4 linked regions of the Arabidopsis thaliana genome follow. The protein of the gene in region 4 interacts with the protein of the main gene of each other region in a pairwise test. Each region holds a gene or a part of one and is shown on either strand. Other genes may lie near its edges.

Evidence for each region.
Region 1: the proteins of CLA1 (region 4) and AT1G09060 interact in a two-hybrid assay, tested with the Arabidopsis thaliana proteins (one study listed by BioGRID).
Region 2: the proteins of CLA1 (region 4) and WIP3 interact in a two-hybrid assay, tested with the Arabidopsis thaliana proteins (one study listed by BioGRID).
Region 3: the proteins of CLA1 (region 4) and AR192 interact in a two-hybrid assay, tested with the Arabidopsis thaliana proteins (one study listed by BioGRID).

The regions. Positions count from the first base shown.
Region 1 is NC_003070.9:2,918,903-2,927,646, forward strand, and holds AT1G09060 (JmjC domain protein JMJ24), read right to left. Parts: upstream 6,855-8,744; 5' UTR 6,786-6,854; intron 6,424-6,785; exon of another isoform or gene 6,363-6,423; 5' UTR 6,353-6,362; coding exon 5,747-6,352; intron 5,647-5,746; coding exon 5,504-5,646; intron 5,407-5,503; coding exon 5,307-5,406; intron 5,204-5,306; coding exon 5,071-5,203; intron 4,979-5,070; coding exon 4,924-4,978; intron 4,816-4,923; coding exon 4,170-4,815; intron 4,092-4,169; coding exon 3,762-4,091; intron 3,625-3,761; coding exon 3,253-3,624; intron 3,161-3,252; coding exon 3,091-3,160; intron 3,002-3,090; coding exon 2,916-3,001; intron 2,828-2,915; coding exon 2,708-2,827; intron 2,608-2,707; coding exon 2,537-2,607; intron 2,436-2,536; coding exon 2,333-2,435; 3' UTR 2,162-2,332; downstream 1-2,161. Other genes in the region: AT1G09050 (arginine-glutamic acid dipeptide repeat protein), read left to right, coding at 1-1,956. UniProt on the Arabidopsis thaliana protein: Binds histone H3 but seems to have lost demethylase activity probably due to its inability to bind iron Fe(2+).
Region 2 is NC_003070.9:2,608,643-2,616,161, forward strand, and holds WIP3 (WIP domain protein 3), read right to left. Parts: upstream 4,736-7,519; 5' UTR 4,539-4,735; coding exon 3,951-4,538; intron 2,464-3,950; coding exon 2,038-2,463; 3' UTR 1,354-2,037; downstream 1-1,353. Other genes in the region: AT1G08280 (Glycosyltransferase family 29 (sialyltransferase) family protein), read left to right, coding at 1-962; NVL (no vein-like protein), read left to right, coding at 6,132-6,262, 6,361-6,784, 6,876-7,213, 7,393-7,519. UniProt on the Arabidopsis thaliana protein: Probable transcriptional regulator.
Region 3 is NC_003075.7:13,483,291-13,489,161, reverse strand, and holds AR192 (Co-chaperone GrpE family protein), read left to right. Parts: upstream 1-2,303; 5' UTR 2,304-2,601; coding exon 2,602-2,745; intron 2,746-2,998; coding exon 2,999-3,442; intron 3,443-3,526; coding exon 3,527-3,694; intron 3,695-3,773; coding exon 3,774-3,902; intron 3,903-3,997; coding exon 3,998-4,096; 3' UTR 4,097-4,323; downstream 4,324-5,871. Other genes in the region: AT4G26790 (GDSL-like Lipase/Acylhydrolase superfamily protein), read right to left, coding at 13-206, 340-829, 932-1,303; AT4G26770 (Phosphatidate cytidylyltransferase family protein), read right to left, coding at 4,465-4,554, 4,622-4,705, 4,781-4,837, 4,921-5,049, 5,138-5,224, 5,302-5,349, 5,441-5,597, 5,672-5,813. UniProt on the Arabidopsis thaliana protein: Essential component of the PAM complex, a complex required for the translocation of transit peptide-containing proteins from the inner membrane into the mitochondrial matrix in an ATP-dependent manner.
Region 4 is NC_003075.7:8,880,780-8,888,700, reverse strand, and holds CLA1 (Deoxyxylulose-5-phosphate synthase), read right to left. Parts: upstream 4,877-7,921; 5' UTR 4,484-4,876; coding exon 4,334-4,483; intron 4,051-4,333; coding exon 3,925-4,050; intron 3,842-3,924; coding exon 3,526-3,841; intron 3,420-3,525; coding exon 3,148-3,419; intron 3,061-3,147; coding exon 2,787-3,060; intron 2,710-2,786; coding exon 2,402-2,709; intron 2,320-2,401; coding exon 2,038-2,319; intron 1,960-2,037; coding exon 1,675-1,959; intron 1,588-1,674; coding exon 1,447-1,587; 3' UTR 1,034-1,446; downstream 1-1,033. Other genes in the region: AT4G15562 (superoxide dismutase 1 copper chaperone-like protein), read left to right, coding at 26-255.

The sequences.
Region 1 (8,744 bases), on a different chromosome or scaffold from region 4:
GGTCTCAGGCTTCTGGTAGACGCTGTGGCGATTGGTAAAGAAAAAGAAGATCTCACGGTTCCTACATCAACCCCAATGAAGACCAAACCATGGTTCACTGTTTCTTCAAAATCTTCTTTGGTCCCTGGAGAAGGGGATTACAATTCCCTCACATCGGCTGGCATAATAAATCAGTTAACTGGCTGTTCTCGTCTGAGCAAAGCCCGTTGCAATGATATATTCTGGGGCGCTGTATGGCCGCGTTTGCTAGCCAGAGGATGGCGTTCACAGCAGCCCGAGGACCGAGGCTATTTCAAATCTAAGGACTACATTGTTTTCATTGTCCCTGGCGTGAAAAAGTTTTCAAGACAAGAGCTTGTCAAAGGAGATCATTACTTTGATTCCGTCAGTGATATTCTAACAAAGGTTGTGTCAGAGCCTGAACTTCTTGAGAATGAAACAGGAGGAGTGGCTGCAGAGAATCCTTCTGACCAGTCAGATGAAGAGTCTTCCCCGTCTGATAGTCTAAGACACCGTTACCTCAGGTCTCCATGTTCTAACCGTGGAACTCTGGGAATGAAATTCACTGTTGTGGACACTAGTTTGGCTACTGGAGGAAAGTTGTGTGATTTACGGAATCTGAATGCAGAGTGTTTAGTAGTTTCTGAGCCAAAGGCTCGTCTAGAAGCTAAAGATTCTTCTGTGCTTAAAAATTCTCTGGACAGTCAGAATGTGGAAAAGTCTCAAGTGAGGCCTCTGGATGCCAAGAACCATGTGGATGACCCAATGCGGTTCACGATTGTTGATACGAGTGTGGACCACTGCGAAAAATTATCTGGGTTTAGGAGATGGAGATGTTTACCAAGTGATGACACAAGAAGGGGTCATGTAGGGGCTGATTCTGGTATAAAGGAAGAGAAGACTTTAGAGAAGGCTAAGGATCCATCAAAGAGGGTTATTAAGCCTCGGTCTACCCCTCGAGCAGAAACTAATTATTATGCTGTAGATTCTGCACCATATTTGAAACGCAGACGGCTCAGTGCTTGCATTTCCAGAGAGAGTCCAGTGTCCAAACATTTACCAGGTGATAATGACACAAAAATGACTATTTGTCTTGAATCAGAGCAGCAAAGTATATGTGTGGTCCAACAACAAACTAGCACTTGTGAAGAGATGAATCAGGACAAAGAGATTGTGCCGTTGGTTGAGCATATGAACTTAAAGTCTGATCAATCAAAAAAGACTGGAACTGGGCTATCTTCTTCGCTTGTTGAGATTCAAGAAACGACAGCGATTGAACCAAGCGGATTAAATTCCAACACTGGTGTCGACAAGAACTGTTCACCAGAGAAAATAAGAACTGCCCATGAACTCATTTCGGCAGAACCAAAAACAAATGGGATCTGTTCAGTGTCAGAGTTGGACAAAAAACGAGCTTCCAGTGATCTGGAACAAAAACAAGTATTTGAGCTTCCTTCCATTTCAGGCTCAAACAATAGATCTCCTTCCAATGATCTGGGAACTTCTCAAGAAATGGGTTCATCTGAACAACAACACAACCAACAAATTAAGACAGATGGTCCTAGAAGACAGAGCACAAGAAAGCGACCATTGACCACTCGGGCTCTGGAAGCTCTGGAATCCGACTTTCTTATAACCAAGAGAATGAAAAGCACAACTAAACCAGAACCGAGAAAACATGAAAGTTCAACGAAGAAAAAGCGCTCAGCTAAAGCATGTAACAGAAATGGGAGTGCAGACTTGGAGCACAGAGGAGAAGATAGAAGCAGTTTTACAAAGAAATCACCAACAAGTAAGCCCTTGGATCAAATAGAGGATTCAAAGCCTAGCTATCTTCTCAATGAAGCAAGAACTGAGAGTAAGGCTCTGGATCAAGTACAGGAGTCAAGGCCGGTTCTAACTGAATACCGTAAACTTCCACCGATTGTATTGAAGCTTCCATTCAGGCGTGGCTAAGGAGCTCAACGGACTTAAGTCTGAAAGTTTTGATCGCGGGATGTGAGAAGATTGGCCTGGCTGTATGCTGAAGAATAAGTGTGTACAGAAGAGCGATATTAACACAAAGGGTTTTATTCCTTTGTTATTCTTATTACTTCCATTATTAGACAGAAGTAATGTTTCTATTATTGGTTTGCTTAGGAGTTCGTTGAAGTAACTTTCATATGGTCTAGTAGTAGAAAAAATTATGTGGAATAATGATGGTTATGAATATACTATATGAAGCATGATATACACAGTCATAGATACATTACAAATCCTGAATAGTAGTAGTAGTCGTCTAAACTAAAGTCACAACAATGATTTTTATACTACTATACAAATCTTGACTGATTTAAGTGCAGCTGTTTTGCTGCGGCCGCTTGGTTGCCTCGTCTAAGTTGTGAGAGACTGCTTTGGTTAAGTTAGAGTCTTCAAATCCAAGCTCTGCTCCAAACCTTTTGCAGCCATAACGAAGGAACCAAATTTCAAAAATTGTCAGTTCAAATTCACTTCATACTCTTTATATTAGCTTTGGTGTCAATACTTTTTTACTTACTTTGGATCCAAGACCAGTTTCTGAACCTCTTTAATGGCTGAGCTAGCTGCGTATAATGATATCTTTCCAATCTGATGTTAAGAACCCAAACCATTTCCAAGAGTTAGAAGTGAAGGCACTGAGATGGTTAATGGTTTGTTCTAAGGGAAGGCAGAATCAAAGATTTGTTACCTCTAGAATCTGAAGTTTTGCCTCGTGGTCGTTTGGTAAACACCGGATTTCTTCAGCTAGTCTTGCTGACTCTCCAACGCTTTCAGGGCACAAGAAGTCAAGTGCCACCTGAATATTCGACTGAGAATTGTATACATGGGAAAAAAGTTTAGTTTAGCTCAAGGGAAAAGAAACTTAATGGAATAATGTTGCAACGAAATAAATTTACCTGAAGATTAGTGATTTGGAACGGACATCCAGCCGGAATGAAGATAGCCTCACCACGATGTTGCTCAAATGTCCATGGCTCAACTCCTGAAACAATAGCAAGAGTCATCCCTCAGGTTTCCAAGCGATTAAGTGTTTGGAAATAGAATAGGGAATAGAATGTTTGTTTTTCCTACCAAACTCGTCTCTTAGTTGTCTCTTGTGGTGTTCATTTAAGAACAATCCTTCATACAACGGGCGTGACACCTGAAACCAGAGTAAACAAACTAGGAAACTCAATCATTCCACATACAAGACTTTACACACTTCATTTATTTGAATTAGCAGGTACGGCTTACAAAATCAGTCTGGATATTATCAGGCTTCTGGAATGTTCTCTGCAAATACCCGGACAACTTTGGGACGTCTTGGCGTCGAAAGACATCCCACTGGGCTCCTCCTGCACATGAAGATGTGCAAGAAGATTCCATGTTGTCACCGTTTTCCGTTAAGTTCTCTGGATTCACAGTCAACGCCAACTCAGGTTCATTCTTCTCCATACTGGCTTCACCAAGTGATAGATCATGTAACTCTCCGTCCCTTAATTTCTGCTCAGGGCTAAGAAGTGACTCATTTTCGCTCATCTTCTGGTCAGGTTCCTCTGGAACAGGTTTTGTTTTTCTCACCCTTTCGAATGTTGTTTCTTCAGACGTGTGCACCAATAGGTATACCTGATTAACAGTTTCAACGACTCAATCATTATATATTTTAACAATAATCTCAGTTGACCTAACATATAACCAGTTTCCCTTATCAACCAAAATAAGACAAATGTGATCACTTATAATCCAAGAGCTGAGTAATGTACCATGTCACGCATGTTGTAGTGAATACCAGTCAATGAATCGCCAGCACTGATTTCTTGGTACGTCCCACAAGACACATAAATCTTTGGACCTGAATCGTTTTGGAGCGAGTAATGAGGTAACTTGGCTGCAACATTCAGAAGGCCTAACCGGGGATGAATGTACTCGAGAAACGGAAAACTTCTGATAAACTCAGGTCTTTGGTAGAAAATGAACTCCTCGGAAGCACTTGGGCTCGGCCAGTCCTTTAACTTCCACAATAGCGGAAGACCTGTCTCTTGGTTCTTTCCATCTTTATATGCTCTTGTAAACTCCCCAAGTCTTACATCAACCTGTGAATCAAGTTATGAACATTACTGAATCTGTGACTTCACAATATGAAGAAGATAAGAAGATAAGAAGAAATGTACCTCTAAACCATCCAAGCAATTAATGGCCTTCAAGAATGGATCATGTTCTCTCAGTTTCTCGTCCGAAAGCTCGTCTATATCCCTCCAAATAGTCTCAGGATCCCATCTAGAGCAAGATGAGTCATCAAGTACCATTTTCACAGTAACAAGCCGACCCTCTGCCCATTGTTGCTCAAACTTAGCTACTCCATCAGTTTTAATCGTTTCAAGCGACGGGCTGTACACGTAGTTGTCACCGCTCTCTTCTCTCTCAGCAAATTTGCAGAATCTTGAATCACACATATCAGGGTTCAGAAGATCAGATAATTTGCAGCCACTAACAATCTCCTCAGCATTTTTCACAAGCTTTGCAACCCAATTCATCTTGAAAATGCGGGCAAGATTCAAAGAATGTGAACCGCAGCCTCCATACTCCTTAGGAGGGCAAGGGATGCTCCCATCACCGTTGGCTTCCCACTCAGGAAACTTGTATGAAAAGTTTAGTTTTAGTTTGGGAGCTCCTTTTCTATCTTGTACGTTTTGGTTAGTCCCACTAATCGTCACTGAAGACTCTTCCCGTAGATCTTGACAGCATCTCAGGCAAAGGTCATATGAGCAGTTCGGACAGTGACGGTAGTAGTCAACAACTGGTATCCGACACACGTTGCTGCAAGAAACAAAACTTCAGTCATGTACGATAATACAAAGTGCCAACAAGAAATAGTTGCAGTACTAAGTCAAAAGAAGAAAGGCATGTAAGATAGATCACAAGTACCAGCACATCTGCTCATCTGCTTTCAATCTTGCCCTGACAAGATCAATCTCAACTTCTATAGAGTAGAACAAACTAGTGTTAACCGCAAAAAATGTTACGAGTATATATAATTCATCAATAGTCACTGTAAACAAAAACTCGTCTCACCACGAAGCCTCTTCTCTAGTTCAACTTCCATACATTGTTCAAGATGGATCTGCTTTATGACTGGTAGGACAGCTGATAATAGACGATAAAGATACTGCAACTTGTCCAAAACGGGTATTTCCCGGATCCGAACCTGCAATTTTTCACAAAGAGTCATAATCATCTCATGGTCCTAAATTTCAAACCCCAAAATAGGTAGCACTGGTTTGAATCTTTATGATAACACGAGACCACACCTTTATTGTATTATCTGAACGCAGGCAAGATTTGCAATCACACAAGCCACGACATGCAGGGCAAACTTTCTCGACTTCTTCAAGTGATATCTCCGAGTACCTTAAAATGCATGAGACATCATTAGTACCGCGAACTCTTTCTACCAAAGGTTTATAGAATTCTGATATAAACAGAATGAAAAGAAAAGAAAGCACACCTTGCCGATAGACAATTGTGGCAGAAGGCTCTTTGATTGCATTTGAGGCAAGAAATGATTCTCTCTCTATCTTTTCTCTGGCATTGATGGCAGATTTCCCCCAAAGACTCTGCAGACACATCTGTGCTTGCTGCTGAGTATTCCTACAACACAGAAAACCAGTTACTTTTAATCCTTATAAGCAAACAAACACATATGGGTGTACAAGTTCTTTGTCTAACCAATGAGAAACAAGAAACTTACCATAGGACTGGTGCTTTGGTGTGATCTGTTTCGTGTCGGATCCATAACAGCAACAGATGGTGGTGTCCTATAAGATCTGTAGCCCTCTTCAAACATTACAACATCTCTACCCAAGTCATCATTCAAATCCACTGCAACACGTGGAGAGAAACTCCTCATCATCGGTGTCTCGGGCGAGTACCGCATCAGGCTTTTATTATGTCTCTTCTCTAGTCTACCATTACTCTTGGAAGCAGAGGCAAGACCGTTATTATAGTGGTCAATGCTGGTGACTGGTAACTCGAAATCATCCATCTTCCCTTCCGAATACGTATCTGTTTCGCCTAACGATGATCGCCTTTTCGCTTTCTTCTGGTTCGCCCTGAAAGCAGAATTAGCCGCCCGCTTCTTTGCTTGGATGTAGTGCTTCTCACAAACAGTCTTATCAGCCATGGACATTGCAGTGCATCTCCACTGTTTACCATCCGATCTCTTGCACCGTAAGTCATCTGGAATCCCGGGAATAGACTCACCATTGCCATTGCCAATGCCATTGGCGGATCGAGTTTGCTCATTAGCATTCATTCTAATCACTGAATCACAAGTTTCATCAAAATTGACCTGCATTGTCAAAACACTAGATTTTCAAACTAAAATCAGAAATTGAGCACTCACTAAAGGGAAAGAAAACTAAATTGGTAGCTTATACACTCCTGCTCGAATTTGAGAGAGAGATCAACCAAATTACAATCCCAAAATCCAATATTTGTAAGCAAAACCCGTTAAATCCCCCAATTCAACGAACACACACACACACATGATCAATCACTGAACCTAAGAGCTCTAGAAACACATGCTATATCGATCGATATATGTATAGAACTAATAAGTGCGTACAAATTCGAAGACAGAAGAAGAGAACTCCGAAATCGCTAAAATCGAACGTAGAATTGAAGAAGAGTGTTTAAGATTGGGGAATTCGAGAGGCTCATCAACAAGTATATAAGTGTGTATATATATATAGGTACATATATATATGAAAATAATTGCTCGTACTTACAGTGAAAGAAGGAAAACCCCAAACCTGAAATTAGGGTTTTGGTCGAGAGAAATTGCAGAGGTTATAGATGGGAGAGAGACCTATCATGTTCAGGATACTTTTCTTATACTTCTGTCTTTTTTTTTTTTTTTTTTTTTTGGATATTCCCTTTCCGCTTAGGTTTTCCTTTTTTCCTCCTCTGTAACTAAGAAGAAGTAAACTCGGATTCAGACAGAACATGGATATGGGTTCACTTGTTTTTCTTCTTTTCTTTATTTTTGTTTCAGTGTGGTGTTTTTTGATTCAAAAGTGGATCCCCATTGTACAGTTACCAAATATGGATATAAACAAACAAAAGTTAAGGGAAATATGTATACAAATTTCAAATTTAAAATATTTTGATATGTTGTCAAAGAATTATATATAAATATATTAATATTGCAATTTTATTAAAGTAAACTTACCAATTGATGAAACACAAAAAAAAAAGTCCTTGATAAGGTTGTTTTACAGTAATTTGATTCTAAACCTGTTGACTTGTAATGCATCCGGAATTTGGATTTCGGATAGTTTCATAGAAAGAATTATTTGGTTCTAATGTAAATTATGTTCATTTCGTATTTGCTAATGGTAATTAACATTAATGACTATGTCATATTCGTTTTCTAATTTTCAGCGACTAACGATTAAATTGTGTTCATTTTGTAGTTACTGAAAATAACGATGAGCAACTGAACGTGATTCAAAATACTCAACGCTAAAATTTTCATTGGTCAAAAACTTTTAAGTCATTGGCAATGGTGTCGTTTGAAATATGATCGTGTATGTTTGTTGGGTTTTTAGTTATCATTGAGTGATTTTTTTGCTAAACAAATTCTGAATGGTGAGTTGATGATTAGTTTCAAGACTTGCAAGTAGTTGAGTGATGAGATCAAGTACTAGAAGAAAAATCAGGTAAACTTTTTTTGTGTTATATATCAAAATTTGTGAATATGGTCTCCTCCAATATATGGACTAACGTGTATATTTGCGTTTAACTTAAATGTTCCGTGAAGGAGAATAAAGTGGCAAAGAATATGGATAGTGCGTCAGGACCACGCGACGTGAGGCTATCGTTGAATTAAAAGGATGATTCGATCGAGAAAATGAGAACCAATCGCCTTCGAGAATAAGCAAAAATAGAAAACGTATGGGTTATTCCACGCGTATTGCTCTTGACTACTGAAGAAGAAACCAAGAAAGATGCTTGAGATTATTCTACATTTCAAAAGATTCCACCTTATATGCTCATTCATTATCGCAATACATGCATGGTTCCAAGTTTTAAGTTAGTAACTTTTTTCCGAAGACAACTAATCTTCAACTAATTACCATCATATATACCACCATTAGTTGGTTTTGTTAAACTGTAATTCAATGTAAATTTATTAAAACATTTTCATTTAGAGTTTACGGTAAACTTTCGAATGGTAAAGTTGTAGAATTCGTACTCGTCCACTTGATATTCTTTTTCGAATATGTTAGTGATGTTGATCATATCCAATCCTAGCAGAGTAAAATGCGATATGATTACTACATATCATGATATCAACATCAAACAATAATAAGTCTAACTCTCCGGCGTGTCTTTGTCCTATTTTACGTACCTGATTACGTTGTCAAGTAACCAGGCTTACGGAGAACACCGAATTGATCATGGTCTTATCATTTGAGACATTCTTTAAAACGTTTATAATTTCCATATCTTTGAACGTTTACATTGCCATTATCACTAAACTCTTAGATACACATGAGTTTATTATTTGAACCATGGTCAAATAATAATTTACTAAAAACAGCAAGATAATTAAACTTCAGATAAGAAGAAACTAATATTAGAAGGAAAAAAGCTATTTGCATTTAAAGAAACCGCGTCCTTAACAAAAAAAATCTCGTGCGTGTCCCTCCCGTGTGTAAAAAAAAAACTCTTTGTTCCTTAAA
Region 2 (7,519 bases), on a different chromosome or scaffold from region 4:
ATTACGACCACACTCGGAGAAGCCACCGTCGACATTTCAGCTCCATGTCAATAAGACCAAGCGAGCAACAACGCCGTGTGAGTAGAGACATTGCTTCCTCCTCCAAGTTTCCGGTAACGCTTCGTTCTTCTCAGGCTTATCGTTACTGGTCAGAGTTCAAAAGAAATTTACGGCTTTGGGCTCGTAGAAGAGCTTATGAACCTAATATCATGTTAGATTTGATCAGATTAGTTAAGAATCCGATTGATGTTCACAATGGTGTTGTTTCGATTTCGAGTGAAAGATACTTATCTTGTGCAGTGGTTGGGAATAGTGGTACATTGCTAAATAGTCAATACGGAGATCTCATTGATAAGCATGAGATTGTGATTCGGTTGAACAATGCGAAAACAGAGAGGTTTGAGAAGAAGGTTGGATCGAAAACAAATATATCTTTCATAAATAGTAACATTTTGCATCAATGTGGGAGAAGGGAGAGTTGCTATTGTCATCCTTATGGTGAAACAGTGCCTATTGTGATGTACATTTGCCAACCGATTCATGTTTTGGATTACACTTTGTGTAAACCATCTCATCGAGCTCCTCTGCTTATCACGGATCCGAGGTTCGATGTCATGTGTGCTAGAATCGTGAAGTATTACTCGGTGAAGAAGTTCTTGGAAGAGAAGAAAGCGAAAGGGTTTGTCGATTGGAGTAAAGATCATGAAGGCTCGTTGTTTCACTATTCGTCGGGTATGCAGGCTGTGATGCTTGCAGTGGGGATTTGTGAGAAAGTTAGTGTCTTCGGGTTTGGGAAGTTGAATTCAACCAAGCACCATTACCATACTAATCAGAAAGCAGAGCTGAAGCTTCATGACTATGAAGCAGAGTATAGATTGTATCGAGACCTGGAAAACAGTCCCAGGGCCATTCCATTCTTACCAAAAGAATTCAAGATCCCTTTGGTACAAGTTTACCATTGAATATACATATATACCATCAAGAGTTTTGTCATGTAGTTATTGTTGTTCAAGCGAAGAAGCTTGTTGGCAAGAGTGTCGTTTTGTCCAAGTCCCAAAGATTTTGCTTCAGATTGGGCAGTGAAGATGCAACACTTTCCCAATGGTAAGAGTACTCTTTACAATTTTTAGATTTGTGTTGTCACACATATTGAAATATATATATGGTATATTTGGACGATATTCTCACATCAATATAAACCAAAATCATTCAGATTGACGTGTCGATCGAAAAAGTTAATCCCACACGCAAGTTTAATACGTTTGAGTAGTACGTTTATTCATGCAAAACACAAAAGCGTGAATCCTTGTAACAACAAGAAGATCGAAAGCTATTATATGTAATGAAAAGAGAGACAATATAATAGGAAGAGTCTTTAATTGAGGATTATCGTACAATAATGAAGTGAAGCACACCAATTTTCTCTTCTAATACAAATACATGAGAGAAACAGAAAATTCACGTGCTTCACAAAATTTTAAAGAGAGAAACCATCTTTATTAAGAAGAAAACCCTAATTAAGATTGAAATCATACTTACTACTAATCACTAAGATAAATAGGGGTTTACTCGAGCCACAAAATGCTCTCCGACAAATACATCCCTCGGACAAAGAGAAGTTTTTGTTAGTGAGCATAATTAAACCTCCTTTTTTTCTTAAGGTTACTTATTTAGTAGCAAAAATCCCCTACCAAACCAAGAACCCTAATATCACATGCATATTACGTAACACACAAATACTCAAATCTATGTCTCAAACTAAAGCAAAATAAAATAAAAACAGACAGATGACACCGGGTTTCATGTAGACTTAATCGTAACCGTATCCAAAGGAAAAAGATCTAAATTTTAAAATGTTGCTTCATTTTATGTGGTAACTTTATATATTTTGATTTCGAGTCTAACAAAGAATTTCTACCTTTTCAAGATAGAAATTCTTTGGTAGACTTGAGATGTTTTGTGGCGCACAGTTTGAAGCAACATTAGAAAATTAGGATCTTACCTTCCACAGTCTCCCCGGTGTATCTAACAACATTCTCACTCTGTGGTGACGCATTCTGTATCCTCCTCAAAACCGTCAAACAAAAGAGACGGGTGAGGAGAATGTCCACTGCCAAAGGACCTAATGTGGTCCTTGAGAGACCTCTTATGCTTGAAATCTGATCCACATGTACAATACCAAAGCTTTCCGCAGTTTTTCTCATGGGTCCTCCAGTCGCCTTTCACAGCCAAGGCTTTGCCACATTTTCCGCAAGAAAAGGGCTTGGAGCCATGCTTACGTTTGTAATGTGTCTGAAGTGTACGGAAATCTTTCAGGGGCTTGGACCGCGGATGGTTGATGTTGTTCTTGCATCCCTCGGCACAGCAATAGCATGGCAGCCGCAGGATGGCTGCCGGTTGGATTGTGCCTTTCAACGAGTCAGCCCCTTTTCTGAACTCAGATCCATGTCCCCACATATGCATCTGTGTTTTGCATATATAAATTCATTAGACCATAAGAACTCTATTTTATTTTGAATATTATCAATTTAACATATTGATATTGTATGGTACCTAATAGACAATTATATATGATCTGTAGGACAGAAATTTCTTGTCCCATTATGTTTCTAAATAGTACTCGAATGCTTGTTCTAGTCAAGACTCAGGAGTGCATTTGCATTTAGGAGACTTATCAATAATACACAAATGTATAAAATTGTGCATATATTTATCACTGTAGGAATAGGGAATGGAATGGATATAAAAGGACTTGACGAAACTCTTGACCACGTATATGGTAATCACAATTTCAATAAGAAACCATATATGATGTAAGAAAAATGTGTTTTCTACTTAATTAACAAGTGGTATTGGGATAATGATTTTAATTTCGAACTAAAGTTGGGACGAAAGAAAATTTATAGTAAATGGTAAAGGAGAGAATCCTATGTAAAATATATAAACTTAGAAACCAATGATACTTAATTAGAAGGCTTTTTAATTACTAAGATCTTCATTAGGTTAAGTAATCGATTGCATATATTCAGTAAAAGTAGTATGATCATTGCTTTTTAAATTTTCTCCCCCTTTTTGGGTTTTTGCTGAATTATACTTTACCAAATCCCACTCCGTGATTATTCTTTTGCTTTTTGGCTTTTCAACCAAAAGGCAAGGCAAACAATGAAAAAAAGTCAAAAAGTTTTTCGAAGATTTCTCAACTAATCCAGAAGTTATATACCCATTCATCCTTCTCTTAATTTATCTATTGCGAATGATACACCAACCGCAATTAATTATCGTAATAACTAAGTCATCAATGTTCAACATCTTTAAATGACAAAAACTAATTTCCTTCCAACATTATGCATGTATGTATATATACGATAATATATTTTGTAGAATGTAAGATCATCATATACATATGCAGCAAAATTCTCACAAAAAGAAGTGTATGATCAATAGAAGGAATTAATTTACATGGTAATGTATGATCATACAATTATATAAACAATTATTTAACTGTTTTTAAACATTTATACACAAAGTACAATACATTACGGAATACATAATAATAATATACTTCTTTTTGTTTAAAATATGTTGTTAATTATTTTGTTATTAATGTGTTGTTGAATAATTAAGATATATATAAAGTTTTGTTTGCTGCGATATGATAAGTTTCCCTTTGAGGGGAAAATGTTATTCTTCAAAAACAAAATGAATTTATCGACCGTTTTTTGTTTTTTGCTAGCTTATATGGGAAAATAAGTAAATAACCATAAATGAATTAATACCCTATGATAATGGCAAAGGTAAAGTTGATATAGTGCTAATGTTTCTTTTTCTTGGTAAATAATACATTGACATATAGTAAGAATGGTTAACACATAATGCAAGATTTGTAGCTGATATGTAGATTATCTAACAAATCATATAGGAAAAAGATGATATTTAGAGAGAAGACGTACCTGCATGTTATTGTACCTATTGAATGTTTTGCTGCAAATAGAGCAAGCAAATTGCATTGGACCGACATGAATCTGAGCCGGACTTGGTATCCAAAACCTCTTCCCACATACTTCCACATCAGAATCAATTATCTCCTCATCAAACTTCATCTTCCTCCTCTTCTTCATCATCACCACACCATCTTCTATTATCTCTCTCTTGATGGGTTTCTTCTGATGATCGAAAGTTATATCAGAGCCATCCTCCGAGCTACCACGGTGGTATTTAGGAAATCCGATTTGGAGGGTAACCACATCATCCTTATTCTCTTCTTTGATATCCGAGGCTTGACTATTATTTTCCATGAGCTTGTTTAGAAGAGGCAAGCATTGAATAGACGTGTTGAGTGGTTCTTGTGGTTGGTACAAGAATAGAGATCGTTCCAACATGTTCATCTGACTCTGGTGGTGATTTGATCTTGATATAGCATCTCTTGTCTTCCCACGATATAACACAGATTTAGAAGAAGTAGTAGAAGATTGAGGTTTAAGCCATTCAATAAAGCTTGGGGATTCGAAACTTAAGCCTTTCGTCTCATAAGAATTCATCTCTCGCTTTCTCTCCTCTCTTTCACTCTCCCTCTCTCTCTCTCTCTCTACCTCCACACGAAGAAGGGTAAGACTAGTAGTATGAAAAGTTTATATATTAATATCAACCTACCTGGTGTGTATCGTAGCCGTTCGTCAAAATAGGTTCTCTCTTTATTTTTCTCCAATACAAAATCTTCTTCTTTAAAGTTTTGTTTTCTTTTCCTCCTACCCCCCAAAACGTATAGTGCAGAAATGTCGCACGTGTCTGTCTACGCGTTTACATCAAGAGGAAAAGAGTGAAATTTTCTTCACAAAAATGTGGTGGGTCTTACTTCACATAGTGAAAAGGAAACGCACAAGCGCAAGGCTTTTCAATGAAAGAGAATCCTAAGAATCATAGTCTTTTTTTTTTTCTTCTTTACCCTCATTTCCTTTCCCATTATTAAAATTTTGTAACATCTTAAACCAACAAATACGATATCCTTTCATCATATTATAGTCATGATTGTCATTTAAGTGCATATAGACCGGCGAAGACAAAATTCATCATTACATATCAAAACAACAATTCCAACATCATTTTAGCCGTCTTTTTAGGGACAAATGATAAAAAAAGGTAAATTGTTATAAAATCACGCGTTCACTTTTATTGACGTTGGATGATCCAAGTAGCAGATTACACGATATTGATGATACATACACTGTTTTTCATACGCAAGACTTTTCTAGCTAGTACTCTAATCCATGATTTGCACTTTATTTAAAGATATATGAAAATATTTATTAGCTTTGGAAATGAGTTCACTGATATTCTTTGATGCATGATTGGGTTCACGGGTCTATAGTTGATATGGCAGCCCACACACGTATATGTTTGCAAATGGTACTATAGAAAACTGAATCCAAAAAGTGTGAAACTACTTTGGTTGTATTTCATTCCCGTTTTAAATCTGTCGAAGCTATATTCATTCAGAAGTAATAAAGCTTAACATTAATCCAAAAAGCAGTCGCATTAGACATTCCCATCCTCACGGTAGCGTTAGAAAGACTGGAATGGAGCACAACAAGCAGATGAGATGACCTACACGAAGGAGTACGTTGACCCAAAAACTGTAATGAATTTACGTTAATTTTTGTGTTATAGACGAGGTTTTAGGACGTTGTAAGATTTTGAATACAAAGAGGTAGTGGAGTTTTGACCCATTAAGCACAAGATTTTTCTTAGAAAACAAAAAGGTTACCGCAAGTAAGTCAATACCTGAAGAATAAAATACTTGAAAGAAAAACCTAAGAAGAGTGAGTATTCATTTTAAGACGAAAATAGAAGCTGATTCAATGTATGTGTCATGTTGTGGTGGACCCTAAAACAATATTAACCGCGCAAAATTTCCGAATGGTAGTATAGCTAACCGTTGAACCGTATGCTACTATGCTTTCATTCACTAAAGAATTATGGTTTACGTCCCATGCGGTTCAAACACGGTATATACATATCTGGTCATATTTTGTGAAACCGGGTTTGAACAACTCACCAATACAATAGTACTACAATTCAAATTAAATTTTTCTTTTTGTAATTAAACTTCATTTTGGTATAATTAAAGAAAAAAAATGTTTCCTTTTGTTGACCGATACAATGACTGTATATTCAAAAAATTACTTTTAGACATCCAAATTATATTTTCATCTATCAATTACAATATTATGAAAATTATATATTTACAGATGCTAAATCAAAAACGGTACGTTTCACCTTAAACCCTAACCCTCCGAATGAGCTAGAGAGACACCAGCCCTTCTATTAAAAGTTAAAACCCTTCCCTCTTTACTTCTCCGATAGCTTTTTATTTTCCTCGTTTTTGCGCCGACCAATGCAAGGGAATCGCGACGGCTCGTGGTCACTACGCGCCTCCGCGTACGGTGGAAGCGGCAATGGAAACGGAGGGTATCTTCCTCAAACGACTCCTGTATTTCACAATTACATTGTCAAACAACAACAACCCATCAGATACAATTTCCAGACGCAGCAGAATCTCAATTTCCCTCATCCACAATTTGGCGGCGGCGCTAATGTAGAACTTATTCGAATTGATAAGGCCGTAAACAATACGCGTAAATCATTAATTGCTGCTGGAGACAACGTATCTTCGACTAGAGTTTCGCAATCGGTTTTAGCACAACTTCAGGCTGACACTTGGCGTTCCTTGGGGATATGGATGCAAGATGTTCCTTCGCTTCGCCAACTCATGGCCCTTGAAGGCAAGGTAAAGCTTAAAATTTTCTATATTGCAAATGAAACAGAGCCTATCTATTGCAAAGTTGATTCCTTTTACTTAAAACCTTTGAATCTTGTAGATCATTGCATTTATTCACTGCTTCATTGGCGCTAGAGGAATCGTGACATTGCATGATTTGGAAGTGGCAATATGCCAAAACGAGTTTGTTGGTTGTTTTGATGATCTGGGATTGGGACCTTTGCTGCAGCATCCACTTGTCTTGCTCTATTTTCCATCCGTCTATTGTTCTACTGCCCCAGTTAAGATCACTAGTGAGGAGATAATATCATTACTTGATAGCTATCTAAACACTTACGATATTGACGATGTTAAGCTCGATGAATTCCTGGATTTTGTTGCTGAGGCTAAAGCAGTTACAAGCAAGGAAAAGCTTGGTGTCCGTATTCAGAACTTGCGGTATGATCAGTTTGATAGTTTTTCTGTGCGTTGTTAAGATCTTTTGATTTTTTTGGATGTTGAATTGAAGTTTGGTTACAAGTGAATGAATCTGGTTTTTAAGGAATCACTAGATTATTGTATTAGTTGGTTGTATATGTTCGCATTAGCTGATTTTATTTGTTTAATGCATTTTATAGGATGTATGTATCTTTCATTCAAGATGCGAAGAGACAAGAAGGCGAAATATTGAAGATCGTATTGACTGAACTGCATCAGAAGTATCGCATCCTCTCATCAAAGAAACAACGGCAAGATAAGGATTAT
Region 3 (5,871 bases), 4.6 Mb from region 4:
TTTCTTATTTTATCACTGAAACCGAGATAAGTCGTATTTCAGAACATGATTTGCTACGATGGCGTTTGTCTTCTCTGTTGGGTGAAATGAGTCCCAAAATACATATTTGCTTGCATCCGAACATGTGAATGGGTTCATTTTATCACACAAGTAGCTCATCTCATAGTATCCCGTTCCGCAACACGCACTTCTTACGTTTTCGAAACCTGCAATGCACATAGGAATATTATCATAAGAATTCTTGATTTAAGAGCATTTGGTACATATTGAAACTTAGCCCTATGTCTTTGCAGGGTTGCAATGGTTGGGAAAATATTTTTGTTAGAACTTTGTACTAACCGAATGCTTCAGGATGGTATATGATTTCTGAAACAAGGTCATATGGATTTGAAAACACCAGCTGGATTCCGTTCAGATCTCTGTTCAACTGGAAGACTTTCTCTTCCATCTTGATGTTGAAATCTCTAGCCACAATGTTGTATTCTTCAATACATTTGCTTCCATAAAAGAGCTGAGTTGTTCTTTCCAGGGGTAAGCATCCAAAAGGAGAGAGTCCCGACAAAGACATCTTCCGAGCTCCGAGTCTGTATATATCTGTCACGAAATCTGCTGCTATTCCTATCAGGAAATATTGGTACTCGTTCACTGAGTACTTCCGTAACTTGCGGGGAAGAAGATAGTAATTCTCCAGGAAATCGTTGGTTCCGATACTAATCAGGTAAAGTGATTCACTAATAATCTCATTAGCTTTCTCTTCACCCAAGTAGCTTCTTAGCCTGGTTTGGTATTCTTTGTAGTATTCCACTTCCTTCCATAGCGGCATTACAGACTTTAGAAATCGATGACAATTCAGAGAAAGCATGTCAGAAATCTAAGTCCAGTACAGTAGAATATATATATGTTGTAAGATATATAACTATGCTTGACTTACTAACACGGCAGAGGTTGCATTGTCTAAGCCGGTTCCAGCTGAAGCGAAACAGACACCAGTGGCAAAGTCTGCAATGTTGTATGCTGGATCTAGGTAGGCAGGGACTGCGTTCTTGAGTCCCAAACCTTCAGAAATGAAGTCTGGTGCAATCCGGCCATTTGAAAATCTCCCAGTCGCTTTGCCGTCAAAGTAATCCCGGCCATATGGCTGGAAATTGCTCTTCAGAACAGTAGAAATCTGGTTGTTGTTGCCTGAATCAACAGTTGAGTCACCAAATACGATAAGTGCGGGAAATTTTGCACACGTTTCAGGTATCTTCACCAAGAGCTGAGCTGCTAGCAACAAGAACGCAAGAACTCTGTTTCGCTGCATGCTTTTTACACAAGTTTTTTCAATTTTTTGCTTCTGCAAAACAAGAACCTCACGATTAATTGGGAAGAACAATTGGAGCAAGCATTTAAGATGGAGAAAGATAGGTATCTTCTATCAAACCTGACTAAAACAGATTTAGCTCGTGTAGTTAATACCTTGGCCTGTTGTTAGATGATGCTTATTAAATACTCCTTAGTCTGATATGTCTCTGTTTATTTTTGGCCACAGAGAGTTAGTTGAGGTGAGTAATGAGCTGAAAATGATTGAGAGTTTCAATAATAGTTGTGCAGCAGAGAGCCGTATTTATAGCTACTAAAAAAGAGAGAAAGACAGAATATTTTAAAATAGAAGGATTCGTACCATTGCAAGCTTCAGATGTATATGTAACGCATCTTCCTTTTTACCGGATTCACGCTCAAAACTCAACTCTCTGTTCTTGTATCACTTACTGTTTTTATTGCTTACTGAGTCTAGAGTCTTGAATGTAAAGATTATTTGCACTTTGGGTGAACTGTGTCGCACGTTTTGGGGCTTTTTAGTTCAACCATAGTTTTGGTTGTTGCAACGACAATAACAAGTAACGGCAAGAAAGTGTCTCTCATGCGTCAAATGTGACATTTCCGATAAAGTAACTTTGTTTTTTGAGTCTCAACTAAAGATTTATAAATTTATTGACAAGTGGTTCATAACATAGGTTTGCGTTTTGAATTAACTAGAGGCTATTAGCAATTAAGTGGTCATTTATCGTTTGTTGAATTATAGATTAAGTAGTTGAACATTAATTTCCAAATTCTCCCATCCAAATGACGTCAAATCTACACAACCTCTATATTAATCCAGCAATTTTAATTAAACACAAGAATGAAACTAAAAAAGCCAAACCACTTAGCAACAGTAACATACTGCTGCTTGTTCTGTTTGGTAGGACTGTACCAATCAGGCCCAGGAGATAAATGGACTTCGTCTGTCCCAAAGATATACAAGTACCTTTGGTTCTTTCTAGAGGCTTCTCAAATTAGCTTTCAAAATCTCCCATTTGCTATAATGACAATAATACCCTCACAGGCTCGCCGAATCAAAGCGATCATTTTAGCCTCAGCCCGCTCGTGCAGCGGTAAGGCTATTTACGTAAATTACTAAAAACCCCGAAAGAGAGAATTGTGAATTCTACTATCCATCCACCAAGCACTCTGTGTGCCTCTGCAAATTAACAATTTCCTCAGAACAATTACATTTCGATTCGATTCGATTCTCTTATCTTCTTGATCTCTGTTTGTTCATCTGTGGTGGATCTCCAGATGTTGGTTTTGAGAATTTTGTCGCGAGTAACCCGCAACGCGGGCATACGCTCATCTCTATCCGCCGTCACTCTTCCGGCGAGGAATCAGACTCCTGTTTTCTCGAGCCGGTTTCACTCCCTAGCTCACGATTTCTCGCATAAGGTTCGATTTTCACTCAAATTAATCACTATTCATGCCGAAATTGCAATTCAGGGTTTTGTTAGGGTTTAAGGCTTTCCCTCATTTGAGTTTCTAGAAATGATTGCTATCTTCTGATACTGTTTCCTTGATCTCTTATGTTTGAATCTTCAGATATATGAATAAACAATAGAAGAATGGTTTAGATTCTCTATAGGTTTTTGCTCTGTATCATTTCACTGAGTTTAACCCATTTTACTTTTTTTTTTGGGGGCAGCTTGTTCCAGCTCAGATGTCTATGATGGATTCGTTTGCACTGCAAAGGTTCAATTTTTCTTCCTCTACCTCGCCTGAATCAGATGAGAAGAAGACCCACACTGAGGCCTCAAAGACAAGTGAAGAGAAACCTACAGCTGAGGCAAACCAACCAGGTCTTGACTCTGAATCTAAAGATTCTGTGACAGATTCTGCAAAAAGAAAGCGGAAAGGTGCTAAAGGAGCTGCATCTTCATCTTCTGAATCAGATTCTGAGAGTGATGATGATGAATTGTCAGCCGATGATTTGGTGAAGCTCGTAGCTGAGAAGGAAGAGCTACTGTCTGAGAAGGAAGAAGAGATTAAGCAGTTGAAAGACAAAGTTCTTCGCACTTATGCTGAGATGGAGAATGTCATGGACAGAACAAGACGTGATGCTGAAAACACCAAAAAGTATGCCGTACAGGTTAGTCTTTAAGAACTTGGTTTGCAGCTTTTGTTTCATATAATAGTTTTCTGAAATATATATATTCACTATATATGTATGCAGAATTTTGCAAAGAGCCTATTGGATGTGGCGGATAATCTTGGAAGAGCTTCTTCGGTTGTCAAAGAAAGCTTCTCAAAGCTTGACACCTCAGAAGATTCTGCTGGAGCAGCTCCACTATTAAAGACCCTTTTAGAAGGAGTGGAGATGACTGAGAAACAGCTTGCTGAGGTAAATATCGAGAAATGTAATTATAAGACCTTAAGTAAGCAATGCAGATGAGACCGGTTAAACATGTGTGCCGCTGCAGGTATTTAAGAAATTTGGTATGGAGAAGTATGATCCTATAAACGAGCCATTTGATCCAAACAGACATAACGCAGTGTTCCAAGTCCCTGATGCTTCTAAGCCAGAAGGCACAGTTGCTCATGTCTTGAAGGTAAATATATAAAGCTTGCTCAATTCTTTGTCTCTTTATTTCATATTGTATAGTCTTAAATACCAATTAGTAATGATGGGTGTCAATATGTGCAGTCTGGATACACGCTGTATGACCGAGTTATAAGACCAGCTGAGGTTGGTGTTACCCAGGGAGGAGAGAACCAAGAAGAAAAGAAAGAGTCTGATGCTTAAGAAGAAGTCAGCTGGTTTTCATAAATTTTGTTACGGTTCTATGTTTCCATTAACATCTTCTCGAGTCTTCGAGTCATAGTTTTCTTTTGTGGTTTGGTTATTCATTAGATGAACAAGATCTCCCATAAGTTGCTGGACATGGCATTTGCAGGGGAAATCCTGCTTCTGTGTCTGTTTTCTCTATCTCCATGCTATAATTGAACGAGGAAAATATCATTTTACATCTCTTCTACTCGCACACTATTACCAAGTCTCTGTTTGATTAGTTAAATCAGATACAAATCAAGGTTTTACATGGTCTGATACAACCAGAAACTAACCATAGAGAAAGAAGCTGAAAACAGAGTCACAAAACTTGCACTCACTATTTAAAACCTCCCTTGCAACTTATGTTGAAGAATGTCTCCGAGCTTTTCATAAAGCATTTTCTGCTCCTCGTGTCCCAGGCTCCTCGATATCTGCAGGTATAATACAATCAATTATTTACAATGCCTCCGTATTCTTGGCTTATATGATGATTCTTACCTGGTCTAGGATCATCTCGACACTGTAGTCCCGATTAACAATGAAAGATTGGATGTAGATGTATGCGAAAACCGCCATAACCATCTGCATTTAGGCAACAAGATTCGTTTAAAACGATGCAAAGATCATATTGCACTTTTCGACGTTAGTGACTCTTACTTGGCAATCCATTCTGTCAGTAAATCCTCCATGTCCTGGTATGCTGTCTCCGAAATCCTGTCAAAGCGACATAAACTAGTAAATATTTGTTCTTGGATCTGTAGATACAAAACCTTTTAATGTTTGAAAAATGTGTTAACCTTGATCTTGAAAGCTCTTTTGAAACCGCTTGCGAAGAAGCCACCAAAAGGCGCCATAATGGATGCGAATAGACCGAGAGAAAAAGCATGCCATTGGACAGGCAGGGTCGAGATCCCTTTCCATGGAGACTGTTAAGCAAAGTTCACAACGGAGCTCAGTTTCAAAACAAGACAACATCATCGGCTGGTTTTCACGAGAGGACAGTTAATTGCTTACAAATGGAGTAATCCAAGAGGGAAATGGGTAATACTCTGGCCTGAAGAGAGGGCCTGGATCACAATGAAGCCAACCAGTTGATAAATCCTGCAAAAGATATGCAACACAAGGATGAAGTAAAGGCCGAGACAAAATATTGTGATGGAGATATCACTTTTTGTTACCTTCCTTGGACATGTAAGCCATTGGAACTGGCCTAAGACATTAGCAAACTGTTGTACGAAGCAGATAATAATCTATCAGTCTTGAGACCAAAAGAAAGAGTTACGAACGAATGAATAAATGATAGAAGAAGGTTATTACAATAAATGCAGAGATTATAGTTGCAACTGATGCTCCGATGAAACCTTCCCATGTTTTCTTTGGAGACAACTTGATGAGCGGAGTTTTCCCGAAATAGAAACCGAAGAAGTAAGCTGCTACATCGTTCATAGCAATCAGTGCTGCTGGTAGAAGAAACCTGCATATTTAAAAGAAATTAGCACTCGGGAAAACTATTATGCTTCAGTGGATATATATAAGAGTCCATTGTACCAGAAGATCCCTTCAAAAATATTGGCGACGGTGAAAGAAGATTGAGTAAAGACAACGATAAGGATCATATGTGTCCAAGCGTATTGCCCAAACTGATACTTATACATCTTATTCTTCAATGTAAGGATAAACCATATGAGACCTGAATCCAACTTAAGCTGTTAATAAATCAAGAAAGAGAGTATTGTTTTTGTGAAGAA
Region 4 (7,921 bases):
GTAATTTGTTTTGTATGATTATTAGGAGTTACATTATGTGTGCCGGATAAAGAGAACCAAAAGATTAAGGTCTCTGGAAGTTTTAATAAGGAGAAGTTGTTGAAAAAAATCATGAAAGTTATTAAAGAATTGGAGATTCATGATGGGAAAAATGAAGAGAAAGATGAATTAATTCGGAAGAAACAAGAAGAAACTGAAATGGCGAAAATTATGATGTTGAATGATGAAAATGCCAACAGATGTACTATTTCGTAAAGTGTAGTTTGTTAAATGGTGATCGTTTTACAGGTTTTTAGCATTAAGTTTCATATCATTTTAAATTCAAATCATTTCTTTGGAGGTGGAGAGATTCTAGAAAGAAAAAAAAAAAAAAAAAAAGGATTGCATGAACTAATATCTTCACATTTCTCCCCATTTTGTAGTTTGCAAAATTATTATGTGTTCACTTTGTTTTTTAGTTGTGTGTTTTAAACTATTCACATATTTTTAATAAACTAATTTTCTCATCCATTCTAACTTTAATCTATAGATTAAATTGATCAATTTATTTAAGATTTACATTATAGTATATTTAATTGGTGAAGATAAATTTATATATAAAATTGATTACATTCATCTTTATGAACCAAAAAAAATAAATCCTAAAATCATCTTTTTAGTGAAAGAGGAAGTATATTAGATATAAACATAATTAAGATACTATATCTTTTCTTTTCATTTTTTTATTCAATTTAATTATGATTACACTATTTTATATTTATTAGGTATAGATAAATTCCCAAGTAAAGTATACTTAATAAGTAAAACTGAATACATTCATCTTTATGAAAGCAAACTATAATCATAATCATCTTATTTAGTGAGAGTAATTATTAGATAAGATTATAAGAACATAATGAAGATACTCTATTATTGTCTAATATTTTCTTAACAAGAGAACTCTCTTCTGTAGATAGAGTCTTTCAATGCCTTTAGGCTCTTTGGGGATATTTTGAAAAAAAAAATACTTGTATCCAATCTTGTAAAACCGGATTGGAATGTAAACCGGAAAGTGGTTCGGGTCACTGCATTGGTACGTTCGATCGTCAGTCAATGAGGCCATATATATAGGTCCAGGTTTAAAAACACTGCTCGTACCAAAATATGTCACACAAAGCTATGAAAGATACACAAAGAGATGTAATTGATTTTTACAAGATGTTAGATTATTGTACAACACGATCTCCATCACAATCCTAAACAAAATTACAAAACAAATACCAGTTTTATCATAATACTAATCTTTGCACAACCTTTGCCTTTGCCTTTCTCTTCACAATCTTAGTAAATATATATAGCTGTTGCCAAAGGACTTCTCGGCGGGAATTCTGATCAGTACTTAGAAGAAACCTTGGGTTGCATTTAGAGTGTTTGTATACATATGTTTTAGCCAACAGATTCTTACTCTCAAAACAGAGCTTCCCTTGGTGCACCGATTAAGTTAAGTGCGGTTGCTGCGATGTGAGATGGCATGAGTCCAGCTTCAGCTAGTTGATCAGCTGGTGCACCGTGATCAATGTATCGATCAGGCAGTACCATTGGTCTCCACTGTATATTCAAACAGTTGCAAATTAGAAACAGTATTTTTTGAAAAGACAGAAAAATATTAGAGAGTTTCTGGAAGTAATAAGTAACCTTGAGTTTGCCATCAAGAAGACCATCGAGAGCAAGAAACTGAACAACGTGCGAGCCAAAACCTCCAATGGAACCTTCTTCAACCGTGATCAGAACCTCGTGCGACTTAGCTAAGCTGCGAATGAGAGCACGGTCCAATGGCTTGCAAAACCGTGCATCCGCTACAGTTACGTTTAATCCGCGTTCTTCGAGCATTACAGCCGCTCCTAAACAGCTCTGAACTGCTGAGCCATAACCCAACAACGCAACTCTCTCTCCTTCCTTTAAAATTCTACCTTTCCCAATCTGAAATACACCCAAAGAGATTTTCTATCTCAAAATGATGAAGGAAGAGAGACATATTTGAGAGGACCAAAGTTATACCTCAATTGGAACACCTTTGTTTCCGGGAGGTAATGCAACTCCAATACCGTTACCTCTAGGGTAACGGAAACAAGAAGGACGATCATCAATCGCAACAGCAGTTGCAACCATGTTAAAGAGATCTGCTTCATCTGATGGAGCCATCACTATCATGTTAGGAAGACAAGCCATAAATGTCACATCGAAAGCTCCACAATGTGTCGGACCATCAGCTCCAACGAGTCCAGCTCTATCCATTGCAAATCTCACCGGTAATTTTTGCAAATCAACATCATGGACAACCTACAGAGAAGGCCACCATATACTCTATTAGTTTCTTAAAATGTTTTATTACAAAGTAAAATGATTAAGATGTTGAACTTGCCTGGTCATAAGCACGCTGCATGAAAGACGAATAGATTGCACAGAAGGGTTTAAGGCCTTCACAGGCTAAACCCGCAGCAAAAGTAACTGCGTGTTGTTCCGCTATTCCTACATCGAAACATCTTGTTGGGAAGCGACGTTGAAAGAGATTTAACCCGGTTCCACCTCCCATGGCTGCATGAATCGCAACCACATCTTTGTCTACCTCTGCTTCTGCGACTAATGCCTCCGCAAAGTAAGTTGTGTAAGATTGAGTCTTATTAGTAGTTTTGAACTGTCTACCCGTTGCTGGATCAAATTTCACAACACCTGAAAGAAAAATAATCAATATATATATCCCACTGCTTAGGAACTAGAGAAAACGTTATCTATCTAACTTGTTTTACCATGGTATTTGTCATCAGCTCTCTCCGCGTAAGGATAACCACGACCTTTCTCCGTCACCACATGAATAAGTACAGGTCCTGTGGTTCTGGTACTCTTAACTTCTTTAAGAATGGCTACCAAATCATCTATGTTGTGCCCATCAACTGGACCAATATAGTAAAGACCGAGTTCTTCAAACAGTGACGATCCAGTCCCGCTTATCATTCCTCGAGCATACTCATCTACCTTAGCCGCCAACTGATGCATTGGTCCGCCTATTTGCTTTGTCATACCCTATACGCAAGAAAAGCCAAAATTCTCATCAAGTCCATAAAGACCAGTATTCTTTACCATTCTAGAAAAGAAATGCAATAAACTTGCCTTTGCGACTTCTCTCAACTCTCTGAGAGCCGGGTTAGACTGTAACCGACTAAGAGCACTGCTCAATGCACCAACAGGTGGACTTGGTCCATCCAAAGTAGCTGTAGGTAATGAGACTTGCTTGTTGTCATTAAGAATCACAATCATATCAGAGTCTAGATATCCGGCGTTGTTCATGGCTTCATAAGCCTGTCCTGCCGTCATCGCACCATCACCAATCACAGCAACCACATTGTTGTTCTTCCCCTTCAAATCCCTTCCTACCGCCATTCCTGTAAAACTCATATATCTGATTCAGTTCTGTTTTCTTATTACAGTTTACTGTCTAAACACAACAACACAAGGCAAACACACCAAAGGAATGATTGATTGTATTACCTAAACCAGCAGATATTGTGGTTGAGCTGTGTCCAGTACCAAAGCAATCATGTTCACTCTCTCCTCGTTTGGTGAAACCAGAGAGACCATTGGTTTGCCTCATTGTAGGCATCTTTCCTCTTCTCCCAGTAAGAATCTTATGAGGATAAGACTGATGACCAACATCCCAAAGAATCTTGTCTTGTGGAGTATTGAAAATGTAATGAAGAGCCACAGTAAGCTCCACAACACCAAGACTTGACCCCAAATGTCCACCGGTTTTCGACACATTAAAGATCACGTCTGATCTCAGCTCATCAGAAAGTTGTTTCAGTTCCTGCAATAAGTTGTTACCAAATGCCACCAATCCATCAATTTGTAAGAAAGCTAAAACAAATGCATCAAAGCTAGAATCTTTACCTTGACAGAAAGATTTTTCATGTGGATTGGGTAGTTAATAGTGTCAAGTAATGGAGTTGGTGGTCTGTTTGAATAATATTCACCCTTCTCTGCAAGTGAAGCACACACTTTTGCTCTTCTGTTTGACTGTACCACAACACAAAACCCAAATCGCAAAAGCTGTCATTTTCTCTAATCAGTTCCCAGAAATCAGAACCAAAGAAGCAATATTATTGGTCTAATTTCACTATATTTTCCACAGATTTCCAATAAAGTAACTAAGAAAAGGAGTCAAATTTGTTTGACTTTTGTCAAAAACAAAGTAAACCCATTATTTAATTCAAGATTTCAGCAAATGGGCAAGCTACAAAATCTCATAGTTCTTAAATCAAGTTCCATGATGAAGCAGAGAAGAGAGAAGTGAACTTACATGGGAATTGTTGTTGGGTTTCAGACATGGTGATGGAAGATCTGTAACCAAAGATCTAGAAGAAGACAAAGAAGTTGATTTACAAGAATCAGTTGAAAGTCCTCCTTTGGTTATTATGTAAGAAGGAAAAGCAAATGCAGAAGAAGCCATTGGAGGTACTTTTTGAAGCTCAAGAAAGTTGAAAACTTTAGGAATGTAAGTAAAACATATAAGGATTTATAGAGAATAAAATTTAGGCAAATTTTGAGGTTATCAAAAACAGTAAAACAAATGAATAAAACGCACTTTCGAATCCCACTACAAGTGAAAGTGTGTGTTTAAATGTGGTGGTGACAATGGTGGTGGTGGAGAGTTGAAGAAGTATAAAGATGGAGACTTTAAAAAAATGGGGTGATGAAGTAAAACGACAAGAAAGCCAACTTCATGGATCACGAATTTTATGTAACCGTGCTGATGATATTAAAAAAAAAAAAGAGAGAGAAAAAAAGAGATGGTGAGATGGTTCGTCATCCGCAGAGAACTTGAGATTTTGGTTGGGCCACGTCAACCATGAAATCCAAGTTTTGGATAGATATTGATGATATTATTTATATACGTTAGTACATGTGTATATTGTTTGTTCCTTATTTCATTTATAAAGTTCTTTAAAAAGAAAATGAAAGAAAAGAAAATAAATAAATATATTCACGCATACATACCAAAGACGATAAAGGCAATATAATCTTTTGTGGTATAAAGAAATGGAATTTAAAATGATTATAGAAGAATTGTAATTTGATTTTTTTTTAATAAAAAAATTAACAAGTTTAGCAGGTACTGACAAAGAAAAAAATCTTTACAGTTTTTGATAAAATTGGAAACGTATATTTGTATACAGAAAAAAATCCTACTTTATATATTTCTATATATATATATAATTTCACACTATTATCTTCAATGATATTCCTCTGTTTCTACAAGAATAATTTTTAGATGTTTTACAAGAAAAATTTTTAAAAATAGCTTTTACAGTTTGTTATTTTTATTAATTTAATAATATTAATTTTACTTTTTTCTTTGTTTTTGTCAACAATTTTCTCCTCTTTCTATCGGTAACAAATGAAAGTAAATAATAATGTTGATATAAACATCAAACTATTAGAAACAAAAGGAGTATTTAATATAACCAAGATAGTGCGGTAGTGTCGTAACTCGTAAGTGTATGATTTGGGTTAGTAACTTAGTATTATCGATCTTATTACATTAATAAAGTTTAATATCATATTAAACAACTACATAGATTAAATTTTATGATATTATCACATTATTAAATGAGCGAGAATCACGTTACAAATCCGACAAAACATATAATATTTGACATTCTTGATTATTGGGTTTCAATTGAGTCAAATATGAATAAACAAAACTTACATGAAAGTTTAAGTTTAAGTGTTTAACTAACGACAGTTCCATCACAAAAAGAAAAATTGTAATCACGCGGTTCATTTTATAATATATCAAAACTTATTAAGAAAACAAGCATGTTAAATTGATATGTTAAATTTTTAAATATTGCATTTTCAAAATGATATGTTATTTTTAACTAATTTTTAATGGTGGTTTTTCGATTTTCAATTAGTTTGAATATAACAGTTGGATAAAATTTTGTCGAAACTGCTTGAAATGCAAGATGACAATATTATCAGCTTGTCAGAAATACGTATATGCCAAATTTTCATCATAACGTTTTTTGGAAACTCTCAGATTCAAAGATATTTCTTGAATCTTCTGACAGACAAACTATTGTTTGATCATAATAAACCGACAAAACAATTAATGTATATGCACGTATACATCATAAATATACAAATACGTATTCTCTACCAAAACATTGTAATAGAAAATCGCCTAAAATGTACGAGGCATTCAAATTACTATGTTATTGTTGAAAGCATACCATATTGACGACTTAGTGAATATGACTAAGTAAACTAGATCAATAAACACAAAACCTAGTTCTCAAACTTGATTTTTTCATAAAAAAGTTGTCTTATCAATAGATTGAGAGGTTTTCAAAAAGTTCAAAATATCAAAACGAATAGAGAAGATCTCGAGAGATTGGATAGTTGTGCGAATGCACTCTGATAAACCATTCTAACAACATACAATCAAACATGTTACTAACAACATTTAGGAGGAAACAGGTTCATTGATCACTCGAATGTCACCTCTTTATCATTTCCTTGTATTATCAGTGATCAACTTCACTTTTTGGAGAGGTTCAACCCTATTCCAAAAGGTAACTGTTTTCCCTTCATCTCACCATGTATATCATCATCTACTTCATATGACTTCTCTACTGATTCTAGAACACTACCATAAAAAAACATTCTCATTAACCTACCATTATATCCGTTCACATTGACATCTTCCAACACAACAAATTTGTATCTTCACAATGGAAAGAATAATGAAAATTACGAGTAGAAGTTGTGTTCTGGAAAGAGGTTCGGCTCAAATATTGGCAAGACCCGGTGCTAGAGCGGACCCAAAAAAATTAAGGGTTATTGGAAAAAAAATATTGGCCTATGATTATTATTAAAGAAGTGTGGTTTCTAATTATAGAAATGTTACTTTTAAGAAACTTGGATATTTCCATATTTATTTTTTAAACCAAATTTAGAATTTTAAGGTATATTTCTTGATTAGTGGTTCTGTTTTTTTAGATAACTAAGAATATTTTTAATTTTTTAAATATAAGTAGTTTTTTTTTTTTTTTTCAACACAACTTTGCTTTATTAACTTGTACCAGAATAATCAGCATGTTGTGCTTCTGCTATACAACGAGGGATGTAAAAATGAGAAACATATAATCATAATTAGTAGCTATTTGTTTTTCAAAAAAGTAGAACTTTTTGTATGAATTAAATAAAGATTTTTTTTTGGACCATATCGTCTAGCACTCCTAACACATGTGTTAAGTCGGGCCTGTAGGACCTATGGAGCTCAATTGATCACAAATTTCTCTAAACTCACGAAGATAATTAGGCAAGAATTCATTTTATCTCGAATCATTTGCAATTTACATCAAAGTTCAAGATAAAGAAACTAATTATTTTGTAAAGATATCATGTATACTCATGTGTGTGTTGATAGTGATGACTGAACTTTCCGAAAAAACGTGAGAAATTACTGTCTTTCTCAAAGGTTCTACTTTTTATTTTGTAAACCTTGAACCTTTTTGTCTAGAACTCACAAGACTCTTATAACATGAATGTCTTTAGTTTCTTATAATTTGTTATCAAGCTTTCTGTCTAAGACAGAAAATCTTATTGTGTTCTAACTTTGTGTAAACATATCTGTATATTTGTGTTAGAATGAGATTAAAAAGGAAATAATGGAACCATAATTATATATGAACCCAAATTCACTTGTTTTATCGAACTAATTAATAAAATGTTGCTATCACAGTTTATTTGCAAGCATGTTTTGAAATGTTTAACTCATAACATTTTTTTAGGGCCGACTGTGCAGTCCTCTTATTGATTAATTACATAATGGATCTGATGATGCACAAAATGGCTAGATACGTGACGATCAGGTTTTCTT